Linked DNA regions of Neodiprion lecontei. The protein of the gene in region 3 interacts with the protein of the main gene of each other region in a pairwise test. Links are inferred from orthologs where the notes say so. Each region holds a gene or a part of one and is shown on either strand. Other genes may lie near its edges.

Evidence for each region.
Region 1: the proteins of neogenin (region 3) and kalirin interact in a two-hybrid assay, tested with the Caenorhabditis elegans proteins (2 studies listed by BioGRID). The link is inferred for Neodiprion lecontei from reciprocal best matches to the Caenorhabditis elegans genes unc-40 and unc-73.
Region 2: the proteins of neogenin (region 3) and E3 ubiquitin-protein ligase TRIM9 interact in a two-hybrid assay, tested with the Caenorhabditis elegans proteins (2 studies listed by BioGRID). The link is inferred for Neodiprion lecontei from reciprocal best matches to the Caenorhabditis elegans genes unc-40 and madd-2.

Annotation. Positions count from the first base shown.
Region 1 is NC_060261.1:5,610,873-5,618,931, forward strand, and holds the start of kalirin, read right to left. Parts: upstream 4,639-8,059; 5' UTR 4,429-4,638; intron 4,255-4,428; coding exon of another isoform or gene 4,233-4,254; exon of another isoform or gene 4,089-4,232; intron 2,562-4,088; 5' UTR 2,534-2,561; coding exon 2,273-2,533; intron 2,184-2,272; coding exon 2,073-2,183; intron 1,594-2,072; coding exon 1,269-1,593; intron 1,165-1,268; coding exon 506-1,164; intron 1-505. Other genes in the region: U6 snRNA-associated Sm-like protein LSm5, read left to right, coding at 5,043-5,088, 5,327-5,523, 5,628-5,660; serine/threonine-protein kinase mos, read right to left, coding at 5,820-6,134, 6,201-6,586, 6,676-6,884, 6,954-7,027.
Region 2 is NC_060262.1:40,957,000-40,965,003, forward strand, and holds the start of E3 ubiquitin-protein ligase TRIM9, read right to left. Parts: upstream 4,567-8,004; 5' UTR 4,028-4,566; coding exon 3,539-4,027; intron 124-3,538; coding exon 1-123. Other genes in the region: L-2-hydroxyglutarate dehydrogenase, mitochondrial, read left to right, coding at 7,344-7,426.
Region 3 is NC_060263.1:14,818,570-14,826,950, forward strand, and holds the start of neogenin, read left to right. Parts: upstream 1-2,976; 5' UTR 2,977-3,282; coding exon 3,283-3,337; intron 3,338-8,381. Other genes in the region: arginine-glutamic acid dipeptide repeats protein, read right to left, coding at 317-364.

The DNA.
Region 1 (8,059 bases), on a different chromosome or scaffold from region 3:
GTACTGCATTTTGGTTAAGATTACTTAAATGATCTTGATTTAAACCATCGTAACGTAAATAAACATAATGCTATTTATGCTATATCTTGTCAAACCACCAAAGCACCTAATCCTGATCATGAACCATTGAATATAACTGAATATACATTTGCCCAGATTTTGATTTTTTGCAATCAAATTCAGAAAAATGTACAAGCAATGGTTATAAAAATATAGGTGAATACAAAAGAGAGGATCAATAAAACAGCAGTGAGCTAGTTATTTGCAAGCCAATGTCAATGAAAATATAAAAACCTTTAAATTTTGATGATTGCATCATAAGATTAAAATTATGGAACAATAATGTGTTGCTCAGTAATTACCTCACTAATAGTTTTCATTTCAGCCATTCACCATAAATAATCATTCGAATTAATGATATTACCCAAAACAAGAATAAGTTTCATACAATTCTGTAAACCACTGTAGTAAATTACAGAATTGCAGTGAAAAATTTTAAACTCACCTCGGTGTAAGCCTGACACATAGCTTCGTAGAGAGTTTGATGCTGTCTGATGTGAGATTCAAGAACTGCAATTTCACTGGGTAAATTTGTTGCATCGCATGCTTGACTCCATCCGGCAACGCTATCTACGTATTGCTCTGCCTTGTGATGAAAGACAACGCTCAAACCAAGAACTGCGGTACGCTCGTCGAGTCCTGCCGCAAATTCTTTCCAAGCTCTGTCCAGTCTTCCAGCAACGGCGCGAACGTGACCAGCCGCGTAATGTTGAGTTTCTAGAAGTCTACCAGCCATCGTTAATATTCTATTAATATTAACGTAAACGTTCATCGAACTCATAGTATCGTGCTTGTGATTTTCTTGCAATGTTTTAGCTGCTTGATAAGATCTACCAATCTCCACGTAATTTTTGAGAAATTCTTCCCTGTTGTGGCATATCCAATCAAACATTTTCTCGCAATCTTGCTCGAACAAGCGAAGTTGGAAGCACTGGTCTAATTTCATCTTCTTTATGTGCCAAAGTTGCAGAAGATGTTGCTGCGCTGCGTGAACGGAATCCAAATGCTGGATAACCAGTGCAGCCAGGGCCCGGCCATCGGGATCTGCTCCACCAGTGGCTCCAGCCTCAATACTGCCGCCTTCTCCGCCTGTTCCGCTCATTCCTAGACACCAATAATTGACCAAAGGATCTAAATAAACTGTACTGCTACTTTTGAGTGAATTTCACCACTTAGCAGTGTACACTGAGAGTGTAATTTTTACATACCGCTGTTGAAGCGTTGAAGCAGACGTTGTCCGACTACTTCAACCTCTTCGACAGGTACTTTCATGATTTTCTTCTTCATTTCATTGTGAAGATCGATGCCATGTTTAGCACCTCCAACATCATCGGCAAAGTCATTGCGACTCAGATCCTCTTGCAGATCGTCCAATCTGTCGAGCAGGTCTGCGGCCTGCCAAGTAAAATCCTCTACAGCGAGCCGAGTGTCGATCCATTGAGCGTGATCGTACTGAAACGTTCCATCTAAATCGGCAGTGAGCTGAGAGGGTTCTATCACCTTGCTCAATGCTTCAAGGCTGATCATGTTGGTCTGAAAGTGAAAAAAAGAAAAATCGATGTGTTATTATGAGTAACACGTCAATCGCTAAAAGTAATTGTCAATCGTTTATTTATATCCACCTGTAATTGAAAGAAAGATATGCTGCTGACGCAATTACATGAGGATTCATGCGATATAGACAAACGAGTTGCATATTGGTTTTTAAAGGTCAGCTCCTCTACCAAAGTGTAATCCGGTGCTCGAGACATGCGTGTGAATGCAAGTGAGATTGTGAATGTGAAGTTCAATAATGCTGCAATGTATTTACTCTTGGCACCAATGTTTGCGGTACAATGGGGAGGAGGGCTTCACATTTTGCTGCATCAGTGAATTCAATGAACGCTCCATACAAAACTGACATTGTGCCAAACTAGGGCACAAGACCCTGCTGCTACTGCAGCAGAGGCCTTGCACAATTCCTATATAGCTCTGCTATTCACCCCTTACCTATTATTGATTCTAATATTTACCTCAAACTTGTATTTGTGGCTGCCCAACGAGGTCCTTTGTTTCTGCCAAAAGTTGTCAGGCTTTATGATAAAGGCAACATGTACTGATCCGGGAAAATGTTCGTGTAAAACCTGAAAGTGTCAATTAAAATTTATTGTCGTACAGCCAAATATTTGCATTGTCACAATTACGCTCAAGTCTCAGTTTTCTATAAACAAACCTTGAGAATTGGTTTCACTGTGCCCCAGGTAGCTCCACGCATATCAACGACGACGGTGAAACCAAGCCCCCTTGCTTCGTCATTAGGAATGGCTAGAAGATACTGTAAAAGACGACGATAATCTTCTGGTTTAGCACGTTCTCGTCTCGGAGTTGTAGGAAAGACGAGAACGGGACCGCCGCGGCGATCGCGTCCACCCGGTAATATCGCTAGTCGTTCTTGTAGCAGAGGAAGTACCTCTGCCGCTCGAGTGCCATCCATTTCGTCGGTACCCTAGTGAGCATCCGACCTGAAAATCAACTGATGAATAACAAGTTCAATGCAGGGAAAGGAATGGAAGTAACATTAGAGGATGAGACATAATGAGACATAATGAGACAAATGATAAAGAACGGACTGTATTTTTAGTAGATCCATTGAAATCAGGAAAATTCATCAATTTTATTCGACATCAAAGAATAGTAAAAGAATGAATTAAAATAAGAGAAAATCACGTTCCTGTCCTTTTCGGTGCTGAAACAGTTCACTGCCACAAAAGCTGATAAGATAAACTTGAGTAAAATTGGATAGCCTGACCAGAAACGGTCAGAGAGTACTGCAGAAAGGGCGAAGAATTCTGATGAAAAACTTTTCTACTTACTCAATATTAGCGATCAAAGTGACTAACAAAATACTTGGTATTTTAACATATGACTGTGTTAAAATAGATCATTAGCAGTAAGCCTTGGATGTTCTTTGAACTGAGTATCACATCGCTGATAAGTCAATGGTTTCACACAAAGAAGTACGGAAATGTTACACGTACAATATACAATATAACAATGAAATAACATCTAGTGAATAAAGATTAATGCAGAAAATTTTTTCCTTTAAATGTAACTCACTCACATAAGACTGAATGAAAAATTATGGTACAATCATTAACTTTATTTATATATATTTAAGAACATACAGATTGTATTTTCCACGTTCAAACAATTCTAGCAAATAATGAATTCAACAATGAAAGTACTTTAACATTTGTCAAAAATGCCTGAGATGGCCTTGATATGTTAAATATAGTATGCAGCAAGAGGCAACATCATTTCTGAAAATTAATATCTACGAGAAACGTGTTCCCTGGTAAAAGATTGTTATTGTTATTATTATGATTATTCTGAGCAGGACAAAGATTCTAGGAAATTTTTCATTCTTCACGAGTCAAGAGGTAATTCTCATACAGGGAAACGAGGCACAAAGAACAACGAGATGAGAATAATAATCGTTTCCAGATGGGTGAAAATTAATAAAATTTGTAACTGGCGAAATATTTGGGAAAATAGTTTTCATGGTTTAAATGAGATTATGAGGTAAGAGCTGGGGTAGTTGAGCGGTGTGTGATAGATAAATAATATTAGTATTGATTGAAATTCGATTAAATAAATCGTGAAATTTACACCTGTTGAATGGAATTATTTAAATTAGCAATTCGCGAGCAGCGTGCGACGAATTGCGAGGACAAGTAGTCAAATTTGGTCCGAAGATAGAATAAGAATAATAATACGAACGTTGAATGCAAAATGGAATATGTATTTGGCGTGTTCGTACGCATGCATACACGCACGTATATATGTGCGTAATAAATTTGTAGAGGCGAAAATTGTGCGGCAACCGGAATATGAGGTGATAGAATAGAACATTTCGATGGTATCATAACAGAAGACGGGGTGTTTTTGTTATCATTTTTTCATCATTTTCAACGGATAATATACCATGTGTAAATTAGGATGGAAGAGTGACTAGGTATCCAGATACCAAGTCCATTCGGTGAGTGTTCACGGGGCAAATCAATCGGGAAGTCTGTACGTTAGCGAGAAAGAGAGAAAAAGAAAAAAAAAATCGCGTGGTCAGGGAGCTGGGTAGACAGCCTCTGAAGTAGGTATATACAGCGTGAACAAAACGTCCCCTTTGACATTGTTTGATGATACATCTAACAAAGCGACGTGCGTATTATACATAACCGTTGTTGTTTCATTACAACGATATTATAATTAGATACTAGAAGTTGCATGTAGATATATATGTATTAATAGCTATGTATCTACGGATAGTAGAGAGCTTGTCAAATCCACCCCATCGGACACAACAATTAAAATGAATATTGTGATATCTCTTACCTCGGTACAGTTAACTCCGGGAAATCACTTTGAATCACTAACTTAATACAATTGTCATGTCTAATTGGAAAATAACTTTTAACGTAACTCATATTGCTCGCACATTGGCACATTTACAAAATCACACAAATAACGAAAGAGTTATACTTCTGCCATGTTCGGCTACAAATTCTACATTGCTGCTGAACCTCGCCGCTGATACCTTCTGCTTCTCCCGTCGACCGTCGCGGCGGCGCTGCTGTCGACATCGAATCATCACTGAATAATATGCGCCAAATGGGCAACGGCCAAAGGGCAATGCCAGTATACTCTGTCTCTCTTTCTCTACACTCTGATTGGCTGAGCATTACGAGATATGCGCGTTCGGCCAATCGCAGCGCAGAGCGAGAGAGACAGAGTGTACGGCAATTGCCTTTTACTGGGAAGCCACCTCCATGCGATATAAGCACGACGGCAACGGCAATGTGCGCGCAACTACCGGTGTTTCGAATCCAACGACGCGTAGTCATTTTACAGGACGTCCGGATTGCCGTCCCGCTTAATTAGTTGATTGTTAGTTGGTTAAAAAGTGAGGGTATATTAATACCGATTGACGAGACTATTCTGTTCCCAAAATGACTAGCTCTGTGACTACGAATCCATCCACGCTTTTGCCGCTAGGTAAATAAATAAAATAATAACGAAATTTTTCCTAACCTCTATGATCTAACGACAGAACGACGTTGTTTATTATTTATTTTTTGTGTATTTTTAAAATACGTTTTAAAATATATGCCATTAGTTCGGGGTAGTCCACGTGTCTTTTACATTCTCGTATTTTCTGCAACCTTGCTCATTATCGATCATCTTAATTTTCTCTATTAACTGATGTTTTATTTCATTGAATTTTACTTTACAGAATTGGTGGACAAGTGCATCGGCTCCCGCATTCACATTATCATGAAAAATGATAAAGAAATTGTGGGTACATTACAAGGATTTGATGACTTTGTGAATATGTTATTGGATGATGTGACTGAAAGCGAAGCAACACCCGAGGGACGCAGAGTTACAAAATTGGATCAGATCCTCCTCAATGGAAATAACATTACGATGGTTAATATGGAAATACAAATACATTTCGATAGCATGATGTGTTTAAAATGCACAACAAGGTTTATTGCAACAGTTTGACTATCATTTTTTCTTTCCTGTTTCAGTTAGTACCTGGAGGTGATATGCCAGAAACATAATCTCATCCCCTGTGATTTCATGTATAATACTTTTGACATTTACTGCTATGTGATTGTAAAAATTTATTCAAATAACAATGATTTTCTTTTGTAAACATTTCTGCATTGTCTTCCTTTTATCCCGTATCATCATTGAGCCTTTGCCATTTCTAATTAACTTCAACACTTTGCTTCGACCTCTAAATCTTGAAGCTCCGTTGCAACTCCATCTATACTGGGTCTATCTGTTTTTTCAAATGACCACATCTTTGAATACAACGCTTTATACTTGCCACCTAAATTATCATCCAGCATTGAATCCTCCGGTTTTATACCTTTCCCAGTGAGATACAAAATAGCGTGAGGATGGAGGTCAGCGAATGGCAAAGTCCTGCTTAGCATTTGCCAGGCCAAAATTCCCAGGGAATATATGTCTGAAGGTGGAGAGGGTAATTCCCCTCTGATTACTTCTGGGGCTACATAACCAGGTGTACCCTGAAAATATGGCATAAACCTGGTGATTTAGGGAATGAAATCGTGATGCAAAACTAAAAAACCTACTCGAATTCCTGTATATGTGTCTTCTTCCCCCAAAAGAACGGAGCTACCAAAATCTGCTAATTTTGGGTTGCCATCTGCGGCCATGAGAATATTTTTTGGCTTCACATCGGCATGAACCACGCCAGCTCGGTGACAGAATTGAATAGCGAAAGTAATTGCCTTGAAGATATTTAATCGCTCTTGACAGTTCAATGGTCCCTCATCCAGTCTTTCTTGCAGAGATTTACCACACAATTCCATAGTAATCATTGAGAAAACTTCTCCCTGTTCAATGCCCAGTATCCTGATGACATTAGCATGTCTCAAAGTGGTGGCATGTTTCTCTGATATCACGGAGTTATCACTGTCTTTCCTTCTTCTAAGTATTTTCGCAGCCACCTGATCACCTGTTATATATGATATGATAAAATCAGGATAGGAAAAAAATATCGGCTCCCTTTCATCAAGTGACCGCATTTCACAATATTCTTCAAACCTTTGTAAGATGCTTGAATCACGGTTCCAAATCCACCACTGCCGAGAATCTTTCTTGTACAGTGGGTAAGTCCAGTATTTAAAATTTTCTTTCGGTTTGGAGTATCGACATTGACTAGCGACAATGTACATGGTTTTGTATTTATTTTCGCTTCCACACAGTCTGTGCTCAAATTGTTCCGGAGAGGTGATTTTGGACTACTTGTAAATCTTTGAACATTGTAAATACATATGTATTACATTTGCAGTTTTAGCGACCAAGTATTAATAATAACACACCTTATATTTTGAACAATTTGAGGCGACCGTGGTGCCAGCCTTCCGATCTCAAAAATTCCTCTTGGAGAAGCCATTCGAAATATATTGTATTATATTTCTTCTGCAGGTAGAATGAACAACTTGACCAATTACAGTGATTGACATAAATATATACCTCTATGTGTCTACCGGAAGACTAAACACACAACTCAAAACAAATATTATGAAGGGTATTATTGAACTTGATGCATGTTTATGTATTATGTACAGATATTTTTTTTTCTTTTCAATTCTAAGATGAAGGTGAATGACTGACGTATTTTAAATATTTTCTTTATTCTCTAAACTTAAGGCATAATCCAGCTGCTACGAGCCTATTACTAATTATTACTTTTAATACTGTATTTTTAACTTGATTATTTACAATAACGTTTTCACTATTTAATAACAAGGATGATTGTAATAATCTCTCAATATAGGTAATATCTGTGGTGTGGCTATAATAACATGTCTCAATGATATACTGTAGATGTAAAGCCGTATACCTAATGAAATCTAATTTATTAGATAGTTAACAATAATAAGTACCGTTAGTTTAGAGCAACACGGTTTTCTATCACAATCATCTAGGAGAATTTATTACCATTTCTCAATTATTTGTGTTACGTGAATAACAATAGTTAAGTAATTTCGTTTTTCATTCTCTGTTCTTTTTTTAAATGGTTGTACTACGTGTTGGATCGAAGGAGTGTCAATAATGATTTTCAACTTTCAATAAGAACATATTGATTAGTAAAATACTCTACGGAATCAAAATACAATATTTTCTTTGCTTCTTATTTTGTATCGTATATATCATATCTAATACATTATATCTGCTTTATTGCGATACATCATTGGATGACTATCACTTTGATTTTGGTTCAAAATGTTTATGCCTTCGTATATTATAATTCTCGAAAGAGTTCGTTCATAAGCATACACGATTCTTATTTATCGAAAAATATAAGAATTTCCATATTATTTATACCTGCACGATATGTAATTCAAATTACACAAACAGATTTTTGTCAAGAGTTAGAATTTTATGGAAATCCCTCCTTTGTTTATCCGTACCGTACTAATAT
Region 2 (8,004 bases), on a different chromosome or scaffold from region 3:
ACCCGGTCCTCGTTGCCTCGTCGAAGAGGACTGCCAGCTGCCCCTTGGTGGTCCGAGGTTATGAGCGGCCAGGGGCCCTCTGTTGGGGTGACAAGATTCTCGGCAGGAGTCGCAGTAGAGAACCTGAAAGTTTGCGGAAAGGTTCGTATCAATAACAAGGATTTTAGTGATCGTCGGGAAAAAATATCGTTTCTTCGATTAATCGAACTTGCCTTATAATAATTCTCCAGGCAAATCGGTATATGAATCGAAACCGTCGACTAATCGATTAGCTGGAAAAACGATTAATCGAAAAATTCAATTAATCGCGCTGCACTTGGTAGAAGCAACGCGATACAATATCAAACCGAACGTAGTAATCGGGACTGTTTGTTATAATTAGGGGTCGATTAACCGATTTAGCTGCTATGTAATCAGATGCTCGAATGGATTCATTGATTATTTATGCTTGAATAGAGACAGTTGGTGATAATCGGATATAGATTCCAGGCGTATTAGTAAGCGGCTAATCAAGTGGACACAAACACCCTTTGAGGTGTTATTATGTCATACGGAATGTAGCCAGATTTGATAAATGAAAGTGACCGAAATGAGCCGTAAAAAGGAAAGTAAAAATTAATTTATCTACGTGTTATACGTCGTTGAAAATGACTAAATGTGACCACAAAATCCATCGCTGAATTTTTATTGTTCTTTTACGTTTCACGAGAGCTTATAGTCAATTGATTAAAAAAATTCTGAATTTATTGGTTAGGATGTATATGTGTTTGGGATATACAATTTAGAGTAATTCAAATATCTGTCAGCGTATAACGGAAGTATATGAAAAGAAAAGAGAAATGAGAAAAGGAAGATAAACAAAATCGAATTCGGTTACTGTACAGATACATGCGGAGAGATTCATCATCGACGAAACTTGACTTGTTTGTAAATGCTCGAATTCCAGTTAGAAAATTCAGTCAGTTGTTTTTTGCGACTCGTCAAGAAAGGTTTCTCTCAATTAGGGTACGACCTTTGATAAGACCAGAGTGAGTTTGAGTTTCTCAATGTGCCTGTGTTGCGTATGTAATTCAACGGAGTTAATTCGGAAACAATGATACCTAACAAGAACAACAACAAGAACAACGATAATCCTACCTGGAGGGATCTCAAATGAGCCAAGTTGAGCCATTATATTTGATATAGAATTGAATGACAGGGTAACTAATGACGCGAGGGATCCTGAGGTAAGCCCTTCGTTCGAAACCCCCCGTTTTTTAATCTCATCACACGATATACGTCAAAACGTGGAGAGATTATGGATGATGAATATACTTCGCCGTTTTTTTACGTCATCCCGGAGAGATCAACAACAGCGGAAATGTCATACGGCCAGTTCTCTCTTTGAAAAACACAAATAACATTATGCAGAATACATGACGATAGAAAAATCTCTACAGAGCAATACACGTGTACCTGTGTATCTAATCTAATCCCAGAGTTGAAAGTGTTTTTTTTTTTTTATGTATATACCAATATTTTATTTCTTCTGACACTAGGTGGGGCTTTATTTCAGGCGGTCTACAATTAAACTAATCTCACCGCTGAACGGAGGTGAGATGAGAGTAAGGGTAACAACATTCTGCGGAGAACTGGGTTAAGGTGGGCGAGTGAAGTGAAGAGACTTTTTGGCACACACCTCCAAAGAGGAAATAGCATCTAACAAGGTAGAAGAAGCGGGAGAGAGGAGCAAAGAATTTATCGCGGAGGTTTCCCTTTCGGAAGTTCGAGGGACGGACAGAAACGGAAATAGTCGGTTAAACAGTTCTCTTGACAAATATATAATCCTGTAAACTGTCGAACAACTGTAATTAAACTCGGATCAACACAGCTGTCCTATCAAGGCTGGGGAACGCGATGCTGGTGGTTCAATTTCATTGCTTGAATCACGTCGATGATCGTGAAGAACCTTTATTCGAACCCCGTAAAAGGACTCGTGGGACTTTGTCATCTGCAGACGCGTTTTTTGCAAAATACGGTTTCAAGCAAATACTGCTACGTGGGACTGGATTTTCACCGAAATTGAAGTAAAACCCTCGGTTCATCTCTCGGACATCAAAGAGCCCGGGAAGTTTGCGCACTTTCGTATTTGCACAGATTTTTAGCAAATTTTGTACTTGTAGATTTGTCGATGACTGACTCTGATCGGCTAAACAACGGTGAAAAAATTGGGTGACTCGATTCCTGCTACTCAAGAGATCCTGTGCAATTTAAACGGTTTCTGCATTTTAAGACGCTATTAAGATTGGATACATTCCATTAAAAGATTCGATTGTTGAACTCGTGAATTTTAAATCGAACGAGAACGTTCCGAGTGCCAAACTTCGAGATCCTTTCTGCCACAAAATTTCCCTGTGGGATTCTCAGATTTTCCAAGTTTTCCAGGTCACCCTAAACTCCATTAAGATCCGATATTCTCAATCAAATCTGGCAACCCAGAATCGAATTCTAATGTTGAAACGTACGATGATTCGATGTTTTCCTACACTTTATGGGGTTTTTAAGTTTTCGAAATTGTTTTAATCGCACGACTTCCGTTAAAATTCGAATATTGAACCACTCCGAACCTAATCCGGATTTTAGAACACTGAATAATCCCGTCCTACGATTTTTATGCCCACTACGAAAACGGTCTTACAAGTTTTCGAATTCATGACCATGAAGTTAGTAACGTTAGCGTAAGTAACGAAACATTGGGGAAAAAAATTACTATTTTGCAATTTTGTAGTGACTTTGAAATGGCTAAGTGTTGAAAATATGAATTACCGATTTGCCTTATTATAATTTACTGCATTTCAGAGACTCCTAAAATTACGAAATAACGGATTTTTCGAAACGTAAATCATTGCAATAACGTTACTAACTTCAACGTCATCCGAATTTGTGATGAATTGTGTTAAAATTTGAACACAGAATTCAGAAATATTTACTCCGAATTTGAAATAACCAAATACCCCCCAAAAGACACACAGTCACAGACACAGTCTGTTAGTTGATTATACCTCAATTCCGTTAAAGACGTACTATACTAAACTAGGGAAAAAAAATTGAACAAATCACGAGATCGAAGTTAGTAAAGTTATGATAGCCAAGCACGACAAAAAAAAAATGTCTATTTTCCAACTTTAGAATGACTGCAAAATTTGATCAGGCTGAAATTTGTAACGGTAATGTAACGATACATCTTTGGAAAAAGTCGTTATTTTACAACTTTAGGATTACTTTAAATTTCGTAAACTGTTATTACAGGATATCATCAAACTCAGATTCTGTGAATTCAAGTTTTTCAGGTGTTCGAAAGGTGCAAAATAATAATTTTTGTTACAAAGTTTCGTCACATTAATGGCAGTAACTTCAGCCTTGTAAAATTTGGGCATGTTTTCCTTGATTATGTTCTACCGTATCTCGTACAATCCCAAAGAGTGATCGTAATGAAACGTTAATCCGATTGAATGAAAAGAAACTCTAGTGGCGTGATGTGAACGTCGAATTGGCTCACCTCGCACTGTTCGCAGGCGACGGTTGCCTCCCGAGGGTCCGCCTCGCACATCTGACATTGAAGCCTGACGTTCCGGGCCTCTTGGTACTTGTCAACGATGTGCTGCATGGCCCTGTACTTGGGTAAATTGTGCGCACCACCCTCGTCAAAGTAGACCATCTTCTGGCAAACAGGACATGCAAGACAGAGGGTGCCCCCGGAGGGTGGAAACCCTCCGTTCCCCGGTGTGCCGACGTAGCTTCCGGGTCGCGAGGAGGTCGAGGTACTGCTGCAAACGACCCCCGAGTCGGTTTCCGACAGTATCGATAGCTTATCGGCCTCCTGGTCGGGCCCGTTTCCCGCCGGATCGGGGGCGCAACATTCCGGCTGTGAATCGGGGGGGGCCTGAAGGCCCACGGCACAAGAGAGGCAAAGCGCGTGCCAGCAGGGCAGCAACACAGGCTCGGAGAAGAGCTCCTTGCACGAGGGGCATCGCAGCTCGTCCTCCATGCCGAGCGTCGGAACCACAAGGTCTCAAGTCCTCGGCTCGGCGCCGATCGGTGTTTGAGGATCGGTTCACCTCACGAATCGGCGCATCGCACGACACCTTATCACAATATCATCTCCCCGTGGAGGCACTGAACTAAAAAACTTCTCGTTAGTACAATAACGAGCTGCGATTCGGTTTTTTTTTTTATTACAATTTTAAATAATATATAGCACTCTTGTGTTACTTGTAGACTTTCCGGCGCGAACTTCACCCCGGTCCCGTTTCCTCGTTCAATTGAAACCGCACTTGCACTCCTCGGAACCAATGTCGACCCGACGTACAGCTATGCATCCAGGAGAGACGTCAAGCTGGCCCGAACGGCAGGCTGCCACTGGGTTGACTGACTCCCGGTTCTCGGACTGAACGCTGCTGCGCAGACGGTCCACGCACGGATTCCTCTCAGGACCGTAGAAAGGGGGTTTATCTACTTGTGAACGTTCGTTTGGGGCGCCGTCGATGACGTGACGAATCTTCCTTTTGTCTGTTGTCTGAAAACCGGGCAACTTCACGCCCTTGAGATTATTTTTGTTATGGTAATAGGTATTCTACGGTCGAAAGTCGAGAGTATTGACAAATCGGCTTACTTGAACTCAAAAACGACCGTTCGCTCGGTGTATCTACGAAAATAGCTTGTAAACACGGGTCTGCCAGTTCCATAGACTTATACCATTCAGAGATCATTTGCTGTGCTCCAGGTCACAGCTATGTGGAAACAAACGTACAGTCGAGACGATTATGAAGCATAGAATTAACCATTTCTTGGACTCTATATTTTTCTAAGCGTTTTAAGGGTGTTAAGGGAGTGGTTGTAATCGGGGATATCAACGAATTTTTCAAACGTTTTAGCTACGCTGAAAGATGAAAGAGTCTTTGGAGAAATAAGCAAAACTGAATTCTTCACGGATTTACGATCAGAGGTGAATGCAGTTAAAAGTATAAACTCTGGAAACTACCAGATAATATAATCAACGTACAAATAAAGAATATATAACTATATACATTACATATGAGTTGTTGACTCGCCAGCACGATTTCCTGCACCATGTACCGATATAGGTGTTCTCTTTCAAGCGATAAGGAGACACTTTTACTGTCGCTACACCTGTGGAGATATGTTGCAAAAAAAAAATTGCTACACCATTGCAGGTGTCCAATTGAATTTTCAGTGATACTATTTGCATCAGCCTGATTACCTGTCTATCGATTGAACACAGTTACTTCGATCCATTTTTTGTAATGAAGTGGAATATCGATCATTCAGCGGTGTGTGTTACTTCAAACCACTATCGATCCATTGGTAAAACCGTAAGATAAGCAGCCCCTCATGTTTGCTTGGGATTATCCAGCGAGGAAAAATACACAGTTGAGAAATACGTTGGTATAATAGCGCTGCAGACAGTACCGGAATGAAAGACGTATCTACCTGGGTTGAAAATTATTTTAAAGCTTAAGTAGAATAAAAATTGAACAACGACGAAGATAAGAAGCGCTGAAAATTCTACACTGTTATAAAATAGGACAGCATGTCAACTTTCCTATTATACACTGTACTGCACCAGGTAGTTCATATTTTACGATCTTGTATCATCGCACCTAATCTGCCGTAGCGTCGTTCTTTTTCTTCTCCTCGGTACAACTCTTGTAGCCCTGAACCATTCTCCGGCACCGTTCTTTGTTGTCGTTTTTTAAACAACATACCCACCCAGGTATATGGGTATAAACTTCGTTCCATCGAAAGTCGAACGTCGAGTTGCATCGGACGGAGAGTGGAGATCTGCTTCCAAGGACAAGGGAGGGGATGAAAAGGGCCAGTTGCATGATGGACCTCTGGAAGCGTCGAGTCTTGTCATTGTCGGGGCCCGATCAAGCATGCAAGTCTCCGACAAACATAATTCTACAGTAATCGCGTATGCTTCGGTTAACAATCCAAAAAAAGCATCGAAGTTTTGATAGCCCGTGAACCGTCCGTCGGTTTGTGATTTCCTCTGCTAGACCTTATCGATTGCAAACGTATTTAACCGTATGAGTCTATATTATCGAAAGAGTACGGGGATTAAAATTGAAACCTAAAAGTGATTTCAGGAGTGCTTAACTATAAGTAGCAAATAGGTATGGCAAAACGTAAAGTTCAGCGGATAAGGGGCCCTAAATTTGAATTTCAATTACGTTCGAATCGAAGTAGTGATTTGAACATTGGCAGATTAAACCGCCTCAATTATTCACTCGAGAGTTTTGCAATTGGAGTTCATTAATCCTGCGTCTATATTCTAACTAGAACAAGCGTATTTCCTTGCGTAATAGGCAGTGACGATATTTTGCAAATTCGCGATAGTAAAGAACACTCGCGAACGCGTCTCGTTCGAACAGCTTCACCGTCGTGACGTTGGAAGAACGGTGGCGCCACTTGCCGATGTTAGTAATCGAGATGGCAAGCGCCGTCGCAGCAAGAGCCTCGCATACGTCGACACGACGTCATCATGACGTCATTAATGAACACCGGTGACGATTTGCCAAATTATTTTACACATCAGATATTTTAAACCAGTTAACGAGGGGGGGATCCGATGATCAGAATCTCTACTACGCACCAGTCAGTAGTGTCGATAAGACAGTCTGACGCAAAAGTGTCTGGCAGGCGTTTCTGTGTCGAAACGTAGAGCTCAGTACGATTTGACGTGACAACGAAAGGCTGCGTGTAATTTTTGCAGCAAACGCATCCGTTGTACGTCCTTGACCATCGCGCTAATTGCATAACGTTGTTCTTGACCTTCGCGTATCATTCTGAAAACCACTTATTCGTTAGATAGACGTTCGCTACCTGTACAAACGCGCCTTGTACTAATCGAAATCGGAGTGACAATTCCTCGAGTCAAAATCGAATTTGGAATTTCAGTTACTATTTAATTTACATGTTATTGTTTCTGTAGTAAAAATTGAATCCTGGGGTTTGGACTTGGGAACGGACAGTTTCGTCAAAGATATCGAAAATCCACGAAGCTTGAAGCGACAATGAAAGGCTAATCTTACACCGCTTGAGGAAAAGTCATTGGATGTGTCAATACGCATGAAATTCTTATCTGTAAACGCTGGATTGTATATAAAAATCGATAAGAACAAAATATTTCCTCGTCAACGTGGATCGGTCACGCATATGCCAAATGATCCCAGTGTAGTATTTCGACACTGCTGATTGAACCCACATACCCTGGGAAATTTCCTCGCTTTCGTAACATTTAATTGGTTATTCGCGCGCAAAAATTAAATCCCACGATCAAAATGTCTGCAAGCTTCCTGATACGTTTGTCGGCTCGAAAACCTGCCCGGCAATTGGCTAAATTATACTCAACTAGCGGAACCAGGTTGGTATTCAATTCTGTAAGATATTACAGTGAATATTTACTCTTCCACAAATAGATTTACGCAGTCGACAGGCAGTGGATGATTGATATAATTTCGAATTCGTTCGAATTCGGTTTGAAATTGAAAAGAATTGAAACGTTCGTCAACCCGTCAAACAGCGATGCGGTTTCAATTTGATAATAACCGTATTTTTCCCAGTCTTTTTTCCTTGTGGATATAAAAGAGGGAGTGTGGTTTTATGCAATTAATATTAAAGTAGTTTATTAGAGTATAATGTCTATTTACATAATGCCAGTGCGGCATGTCCTATTAACAAGGAGTCCAGGAGTAGAGAGAGCTAGATTGTGTCCTAGCGCGTACGGTCCCGCGCGAGCTCGTCTCGCTACACAAAACTATCGCTGGCCAATAGATGGCTCGTCAAGTTTCATTCTGACCATTAATCAAGATTATGAATTTGTCTATATATTACAACATTCCTGTTTTCCATTTGGGATAATTATCACATCCTCATGTTAGTATAATAAGAAAACATCAAATCGATACTTGGTAGCAATAGATATTGTCTAGCCACGTTCGC
Region 3 (8,381 bases):
GTATACCGGCTTGCTTATTCAAAGTGCTAAGCTGAATTTCATAAGGCATAAATAGCTCAACAGAATTCGGTGAAACTTTGCTAGGTTGAAGTTCCTTCTTATTCAGCCGATACAAGTTTACTTGCATTGTTCTATTGTTAGTGCGATGAGAAAGCGATTGTGTTGTTAAAAAAAAACTTTGTTATTGCCGCTGACTTATACTCAATTATTATCTTTTGTACATTCATTAGTTATTAGATGTTATGCGTGAATTATATTAATTATATTTGCAGGGTAGCTATGAAGCAGTGAGGTTTTTCCAAAGAATCGGGCAAACCTGGTGGGATGGACCGACCCGAATCTCGCCTTGGGTACCAGCAGACATCTCCCCCTCCTCCAAAGCTCCACCGTCTTTCTCCAGTGTTTTAACCACTGTCAGTCTCCAAGTCTCAGTAAAGTGCTACCTTCCACCCCTAGGAATTAGTCAGGCGTATAATACATTTGGCACAATATTTTTGTGTGTAATATTAAACAATATAAATCTGTAGGCGATCAGTTTTGCCATTTATTGATAACAGACGATATATAAAGAGAGATCAAACTATGTATGTCTTGAATTTGAAATCAAACATGACTGCCAACATGTATGGAAATGAAGAAGTTTCAACAACGGTGATATTCTGATTTGACAGGTTTTGAGTCAAATTCAACGCGTCGATGAAAAATCACATATTGATGATAAGACTTGATTTTCTTACAAGGAGTAAATTATATTTGTTACTTGAATAGTTAGAGAGACTCAAAAGTTATTCTGAGAATTCGGCTAAAGGGAGTAGAATTTTAACACTACACATGCTCGACTACTACATTGTCGTGAAAATTAAATAATGAAATGGAAAGTTAGTATCAGGTTGACGCAATTAAACCAAAGCAAAGTGTTGGTTAATTTTACATCATGGTTGACGAGAAATATATTTCGTATTTCTATCCCAATGCATTTTGAATAGCTTATTCCATATGTAATCTTAACAAGGGCTCTGAATAGCTATAAAACAGAGTGACTGATAATTTGATGACTTCTTTTAAGCCTGGAAGTAAATTCTATTCAGATAAAACAACAATGAATAACAAATCTGACAGTTGGTCTAATGAGAAAGGATTTTGCGAGATTTGAGACGGTTCATCAAAGGTTGCAAAGTGAGCAATTTCCAACTCATGTTCAGTAATTAACTCTGCAAGTAATTGAGAAAGGGTAACAACAAAGCTTTATGATTAAAGGTTTGCAATTTCTTCTATTGTTGTGCTGTAAATAGCAATATGTGAAAGGTATCTATGATATTTGCATAACAATTAGTAATTCGTAAAAGGGTATGAGGAGAATTTCTGGATCTACATACCTCTAGTAGCCATGCCAATGCGTCATTTGCGAGGATCAGCGGAGTGTCACGGATTCATTTAATTGCGCGACTATTAGACGCGTAGTATCAGCGAACAATGAAGGATTAGGAAACCCTCCTAAGGTAGATTTATCTCAATGGGTTATTGTGGAGAAAAAAACGGTAAACGTTGACCTAGGTGAGAGCAAAGATGGAATTTGTTCAACTGCGTTGTAAAATAATGATAGCAAAAATAGTAATAACAATCATGATGATGATGATGATGATGATGATGTTAATGATGATAATGATAATAATAATAAGAGAATATTAAGGGAATTCAAAAGGGAAAAGTGATGCATGTACCTATGACACCATATATCGCATGAGAAATTACGGATAACTTTAGCCGAAACTTAAATTGTCTTGGCGTTATCTAACCGAGCGTGATATGGGGGTATTTATTCGTTGTGTGATGTTTTTTTTTATTTCTTTTGTCTCTCTAATTCCATGCATTTTCAGTCAGTTAATCGATTGAATAGGGAATAAAATCGATGAAATATGCGTAAAAATAGATGTATGTATGTGGTAAGTATAGATATGTGTAGTAAAACTTGTGGGAGAGGAGGTAACGCTCGGCACTTACCACGCTCCCGACGCCTAGCATCCTTCCAACGTTACGTATAAACTTGCCCGCCCATTCGTTAATTTATGTGTCAGAGTGGCTACGTTAATGTTAACACAACTCCGGGCACATTATTGTTTACCAGTCGCGAATATCAGGCTTTTCGAATATCACACACTACCCATAACACCCAGGCGCGGCCATATTGTCTTCAATTTTTTTCTCTCCCACTTTTTTTCTGGTCTCTCCGCTCGTTCTTTTTTCTCGCTCTCTTGCTCCTACTCCCTTTCGTTCACTCGCTCTCGCTCTCTGTTTTATTTCATTTTGATACAGTCAATCAAGATGTCAATCCCCCATTGTCGTCGTCACGAAATATCAACCACCGATAGAAACGTAACTGCTGTTGCCAAATGGGTACAGCCAGCCCCCTGACACATGCTGCTAAAAGTGGTTCGCAAAATGTCCCTCCATTCTGCCGCCAATCTCCACCACTGGTAGCGCTAGTAGTTGTCTGAAAGGCTTGCGCGCGATCAGCGAGCGAGCGAGCGTGTCAAAAGTCTACTAGCGCCACATAGAGGAACTAAAAAAAGGGGGACAAAACGCGTACAATTTTTTAGTATACGAACAGTAGTGAGTGTCAGGGGGCTGGGTACAGCTGGTTCAAACAAGGGTTTTCCTACGTAGAATTGTTAGCTCGCGATTCGGGTGAATGTGTTAATGAAACAAGATATAACTTAAAGAAATAAATAATATGTACAAACAACGAGGACGAAAATATTGCCACTCAATCGCACTCAATCGATAAGTTTTCGAAATTCCGTGAGGTACTTTGATTCGTCTAACTATATTTTCACCACCGTATCGCTGGTCTGTGTCGTTACTCGTTAGTATTGGCGACGTTGTCGATGATTGAATTTCGGAAACCATTCTAGTTCATGGTTTTTCCGTGTTGGCGCGAGCTGGCGCGAGCCTCTATATTCTACAAAAATGGCGTCGCGTCAGATAGCCAAGAAACTCGGGATGGTGCAGAGGAATTATATCGCTGGCTAGTGATGTTTGGTAATCAAAATCGTTGTTTACTACGACTATAAAAATGAATCGTTACACAAACCTAACAAGCAGCAGTGTGGTGATAGATATCAGTGATTTCGCGCTGAATTAGATATGTTTGTGTCGAACATAAGTCGTGCTACCTTTCAGTGATCGGATGAAGAAGTGTAGGTAATTGTGGGTGGGCAGGCTGGTGAGATCTTTTCAGGATTAAAATATCGGAGAAGACCAAGCTATACACACGTACCTTCGATGGAGTTGAGGGTAGCGCTGATCTCGCTCGCTTTGTTGACGTTCGTCGGCCAAGGTAATTCAATCGCTGAATCAAATTTAATTTATGTTCGACGTACATTTATTCCATTACAGCGTTGCGTTCGAATTTCATACAAAATTCGCGCTAATTAAGTTGATTCGCTAATCATCAATCAAATCGCTCCCCACTTCGCCTGTTTTCTTCAATTTTTTCGTCGATTGAGAATATTACAATCGCAAATAAAACTTCTGGTTATTCCTAACGTAATATAGAATCTCAAGATTTTATTATCGTATTCTGTAATAATGATTTGTAATATGATTGAAAAAGGCAGCAAATAGAACGTACAAATATCAGTTTACATACGGAAGTTGTAATACATAGTATCTACGCATCATACATACGGTTTCGCATGTACAACTTGCGTGTCGATTTTCGCAACGCGAATTTTCTCCTGGGTTTAATCATCTAGTGAAAATATACCTGATGATACAACGCGTATGAATTGATTGTATTTTCTGCTCAAAGATCGGTCGGAGAGAGAATCTTCTAATTATCAATATATTTATTTTTTTTCAAACAATTTTTTTCTCAAAAACTTGTAAAGCGTTCCTGCTGCGCGCGCACGCGTATGCGTGTGTGTGTACTCCTCTTGTTTGACATAACAGCTGCCTCAAATTTACGCACGGTATCTACATGTATAGGCATGAATTTCCATACATGCAATCTTGTTTGCCCGGGTAAATATTTACCCTGAGACTACACGGAGCACGGAGTGGAAAAGAGACATATACAGGTGTAATAAGCCTCGAGAGAATCTTGGAAAATATCTTCTAAACGCCTCTCTGCCAGTCGACTCTTTTTCCCCTGACATACCTGCAAACGTTTTCCATTATTATGGCATCTAATATCCACTGTTGAAAATGTACAATTGAAACGCGGAAGCTTCGAGTCGTTATCATCATACTGTCTGTCCGCCAGCTAGAACCTGTTCAAATTTCGAATTAATGCAAATATCAGCAAATCACAAAGAGAGTATGTGAAGCAGATGAACCAGGATGACCAGGATGATCGCTTCCGCGCATATTCGTGAAACAGAAGAAGGGAGTCGGTGGGTCGTTCGGGGGTATAGCAGTATAAAATGCACGTATAAATAGGGCCGTGAGTGTGCGGGAGAGAAAGAGAGAGAAAGTTATCAAGTTGCGTATAGGCCAGGGAGGAGGAGGATGGCGGAAGATCTCGTGCAGGGTTGCCAATCGCCCGGCACTCTTTTCTTCTCTTCGTTGCACCCTCGTGAAGTACGTTGGGATTGGCTAGTAGCTATATTGTAATTTTGATCCCCCCAGAGTTCAATTCCATTCGAGGCTACAAACTATCGTCGTCGGCGTCGTCGTTGTGTCTCCATTGTGCACCAATAGAGAAATAATTGCCTCGCTTTAATAAGAAGACTTGTCCCGTCGCGTCGAGTCGGGTGGAAAGGGAGAGATGAACTACGGCAACAATCCGACTCTCTCTCTCTTCATACTGACGCTATAGGAACACTATCATAACGAGTCATGCTGAGGAAAATGAGTTATTTCGCGATTTAGGAATTGTCCGAAATTCAGTAAACCGTTACAGAAAGACACACACTCATATTTCGACATCTTAGTTCCTTAAAAATCATTGTAAAATTAAGAAAAGAGTGATTTTTTTCCCAATTTTTCGTAACGCTGACGTTACTAACTTTAACCTCGTACTCTCTCGAATTGTTCTATCGTCGTAGATGGTGACAAATTGTTATATACAATATTATTCTAACGATACGTGAGAAACAGGAGAAATTTACCGAAGAATCCTCATCGCGATGGAACGTTTGATACGAATTTATGATTTTAAGTGTATTGTATAAAGTTATGAGGCGGTGCGCGGTTTTTCTCCATTTCTTCTGAGAATCATGGTCGTCGCCAGCGAGCTCGTCTTTTTCTTTTTTTTTTTATTATGCCCCTTCTAGTTTTACATCGCACGAGATACCGGTTGTTCATGCTGTTGTTCTGGCTGTGTATTAGTAAAACCCTCATTCTCACAAAACAACAACAACAACGCAACGCGCCAGGTGTACGAAAACACTCGAGAGATGTTCGAGCGTAGGTATAATAATTAGGTGTATGTACAGCAGCGGTGAAGGTTTTAAATTTCATCCTTGATGTCCGCTTTCTTGGTTGTCGGAGAAGAGGAAGAACAAGAAGGAAGAAAGGCGATCTAGTTACTGCGGGATTGACAATTTAATTACACGTAGCGTCTATATTACCCGAATGTAACGCTGATCCGACGGGCGGAGGATCGAAGGAATTACGATTTTTCTAATTATTCACACGGTTAATAAACTGTTAACGCGCGTTGCTCTGCGTTTTAATCCTTTGACTCACCCATTGTTGTTCCGAAACAACTTTTATAACAATATATTATTTTTCAAGTTCTCAGGGTGACTGATTACAAATCTGAGATCAGTTTTGGAAAATTGAAGACGGCTGATCCAGTACGGTCAAGAAAATCATCCAAATCTGGATCCAATATGACAGATAAAATTTAAAATGTCATCGGATATTGACGAAAAACTGTATGAATGGGTTTTCGGGGTTACTGTTTACGAATCTGAGATCAGATCTTGAAAATTTAAGGTGACGGATCCAGCATGTAGAACACAAGTTTGGAAAATTAATTAAATTTCGATAGAAATCTAAGTAAAGGAGTTGGGTCGCTTATAACGAGAATTCGAAGTCTAATTATGAAAATTGAAATAGCGGATCCTAATAGTTGCCATGAAATCTCAAAATTTATCCACTCCATGACCTGAATTTAACAAATTCGGTCTACCGTATTGGATACGCCGTTGTGAATTTTCGAAATCTTCTTGCTTAGATTCATAATCAGCGACCTCAAAAACCCGTTTAACATATTTTAGTCCGGGTTCGTTCGAATTTGAACTTTTAGTCCGCCATATTGGATGCGCCATCTTAAGTTTCGACAATTTAACCTGAGATTCACAACCAGAGACCCAAAAACCTCTACATGCAATTTATTGTCTTGATTTGATGAAATTTGAAATACTCTTCCGACATTTTGGATCCGCCACGTTGAATATTCAAAATCTGTCTTCAGATTATGATTCAGTGACCTCAAAATCACATAATCTATATGCTTTCAAGGAAAATTTTCTTGCAAATGAATTATTTCTGCAATTTTCACGTTTTTTCAATCAATTTGGTTATAACAATAATAAAATACGATACATCGGAATAATTACTCTTGAGTCTTTAAGACATATTAGAATAGTCTCAGAAATAGCAAAAGACCGCATGAAGTCGTTGAAGAGTTTGCTAAATATTTAAAAAATGGATACGAAATAGGTGGTAAAAATACCTAGCACTATGAACTCAAAGGGTTAATTAAACACCGCACACGGAATTACATTATGTCGTCTATGGTATAGGTCGGGAATATTACATATTTGCATGTATATGTTACGCAAATATAGACATACAATGAACGTGTAGGAGAGAATAGGAATTTAGTAAAAGTATAAAAACTCCTCGTCGTCGTCTTGCTACTCGTGGTTTACAGACCGTAACGCTAAGATCGTTGCTGCTTGCACTAGAATATCTAAGAAAGGTGGCTTTTGCACGTTGTACAGGAATCTGTAACCTCCGCTACAAGCTAGAAGCAAGTGAGAGGACAGATTTTCTGATCTAAATTGCATCTGTCGATTTCTGCATATTGATTCTACACGAGTATACATAGTTGTATTTATATTATACATGTATTGTGTACTATATGCCGAATTTACTTCGGAAGAATGCAACACGTGTACATATATTGTATACTGTATACATAATGTGTAGGATGCGACAGCCTGCGCCTACGTATTTTCAAACAACAGTTGTCGATGAGTTATTCGACTAGTAAGTCAAGGAAGAAAAAACTAGGACATGGCAAAAATGCAAATGTACTCGCCGAGAAAATTATCCCCCCCCCCATTTTTGGTTGTGAAAAACTCCAGCTTGAAATTACTGTAATTGCGTAATTTAGTCTTTATGCATTTTTTCTTGAGTAATCCTATCTTGTAAATTTAGTAAAGTGACCCTTCGACTTGGCCTCAAGATATTTATTTTGTCGCATGGAGTTTTCCCTCGAAAATGGTTCTTTTAAAACTATGCGTGTGACTTTTTCTCGTAAAGAAATCTAATGTCAAAAGAAATAGCGTCCGAAATACTTTGATTCTACATATCAAGTGAAAAAACTATTGTACAGAAATTTAAAAGAAACGAGATAGAACCGCTAAATGCCGCCCTTCTGAATCTCGATCAAAAATTATCCTCAACGTCACTCGCAAACTTGACAACTTTACAAAGATGACCTTTAAAATTTGGTTATCAAAAATTAAACTTTACCGCGACACAGTTTCCGTAAAAATGGGGCGATCGTCTTTTGAAGAATAAAGATTTCTCTTCGAAAGCCTGTTGTGTTTACATTTTCCCTACATTCTGCAACACCAAAGATGTTGAAGTTCAAACGAAAGACAGCTTGGTTACACCCTTACCTCCGACATTAACATTACTCCAGTTTTTTCACTTCTTACGTAGGATTAAAGTTTTTCGGATATAATATGGAATAACTTTGCAAAAAAAAAAGCGAGACAACAGTGAAAAAAACGAAAACCTTTGGAAGGGAAAACTCTAAGCTAGATAATGGATATCTTGGAAATGTATCAAAAAATTCAGTTCATCCCGTAAGACTGCAATGCGCTAAGTCGAAGGTTCACTTTACAAATTTGACATGAGCGGCCTAAAGATAGGATTACTCGAGAGAAAATGCGTATGTAGAATAAATCTGGAAAACACGGAGTTCGCAGCCAAGATGTTCAGCTTCTCAATCGTTTTCGGTTCAACTTTCTACTTGCAATGTACGCAAAGTTACAGCGTCTCAAATTTGGACCTTTTCCGGTCAAAATCTGAGCGAAGGAGGGCTGATAATATTTTCCGCGAGTGTATATATATCCGTGTATGTACGCGCAATTAGAAGACAGATAAACATTAATCAAGTATTGTATCTAATAAGA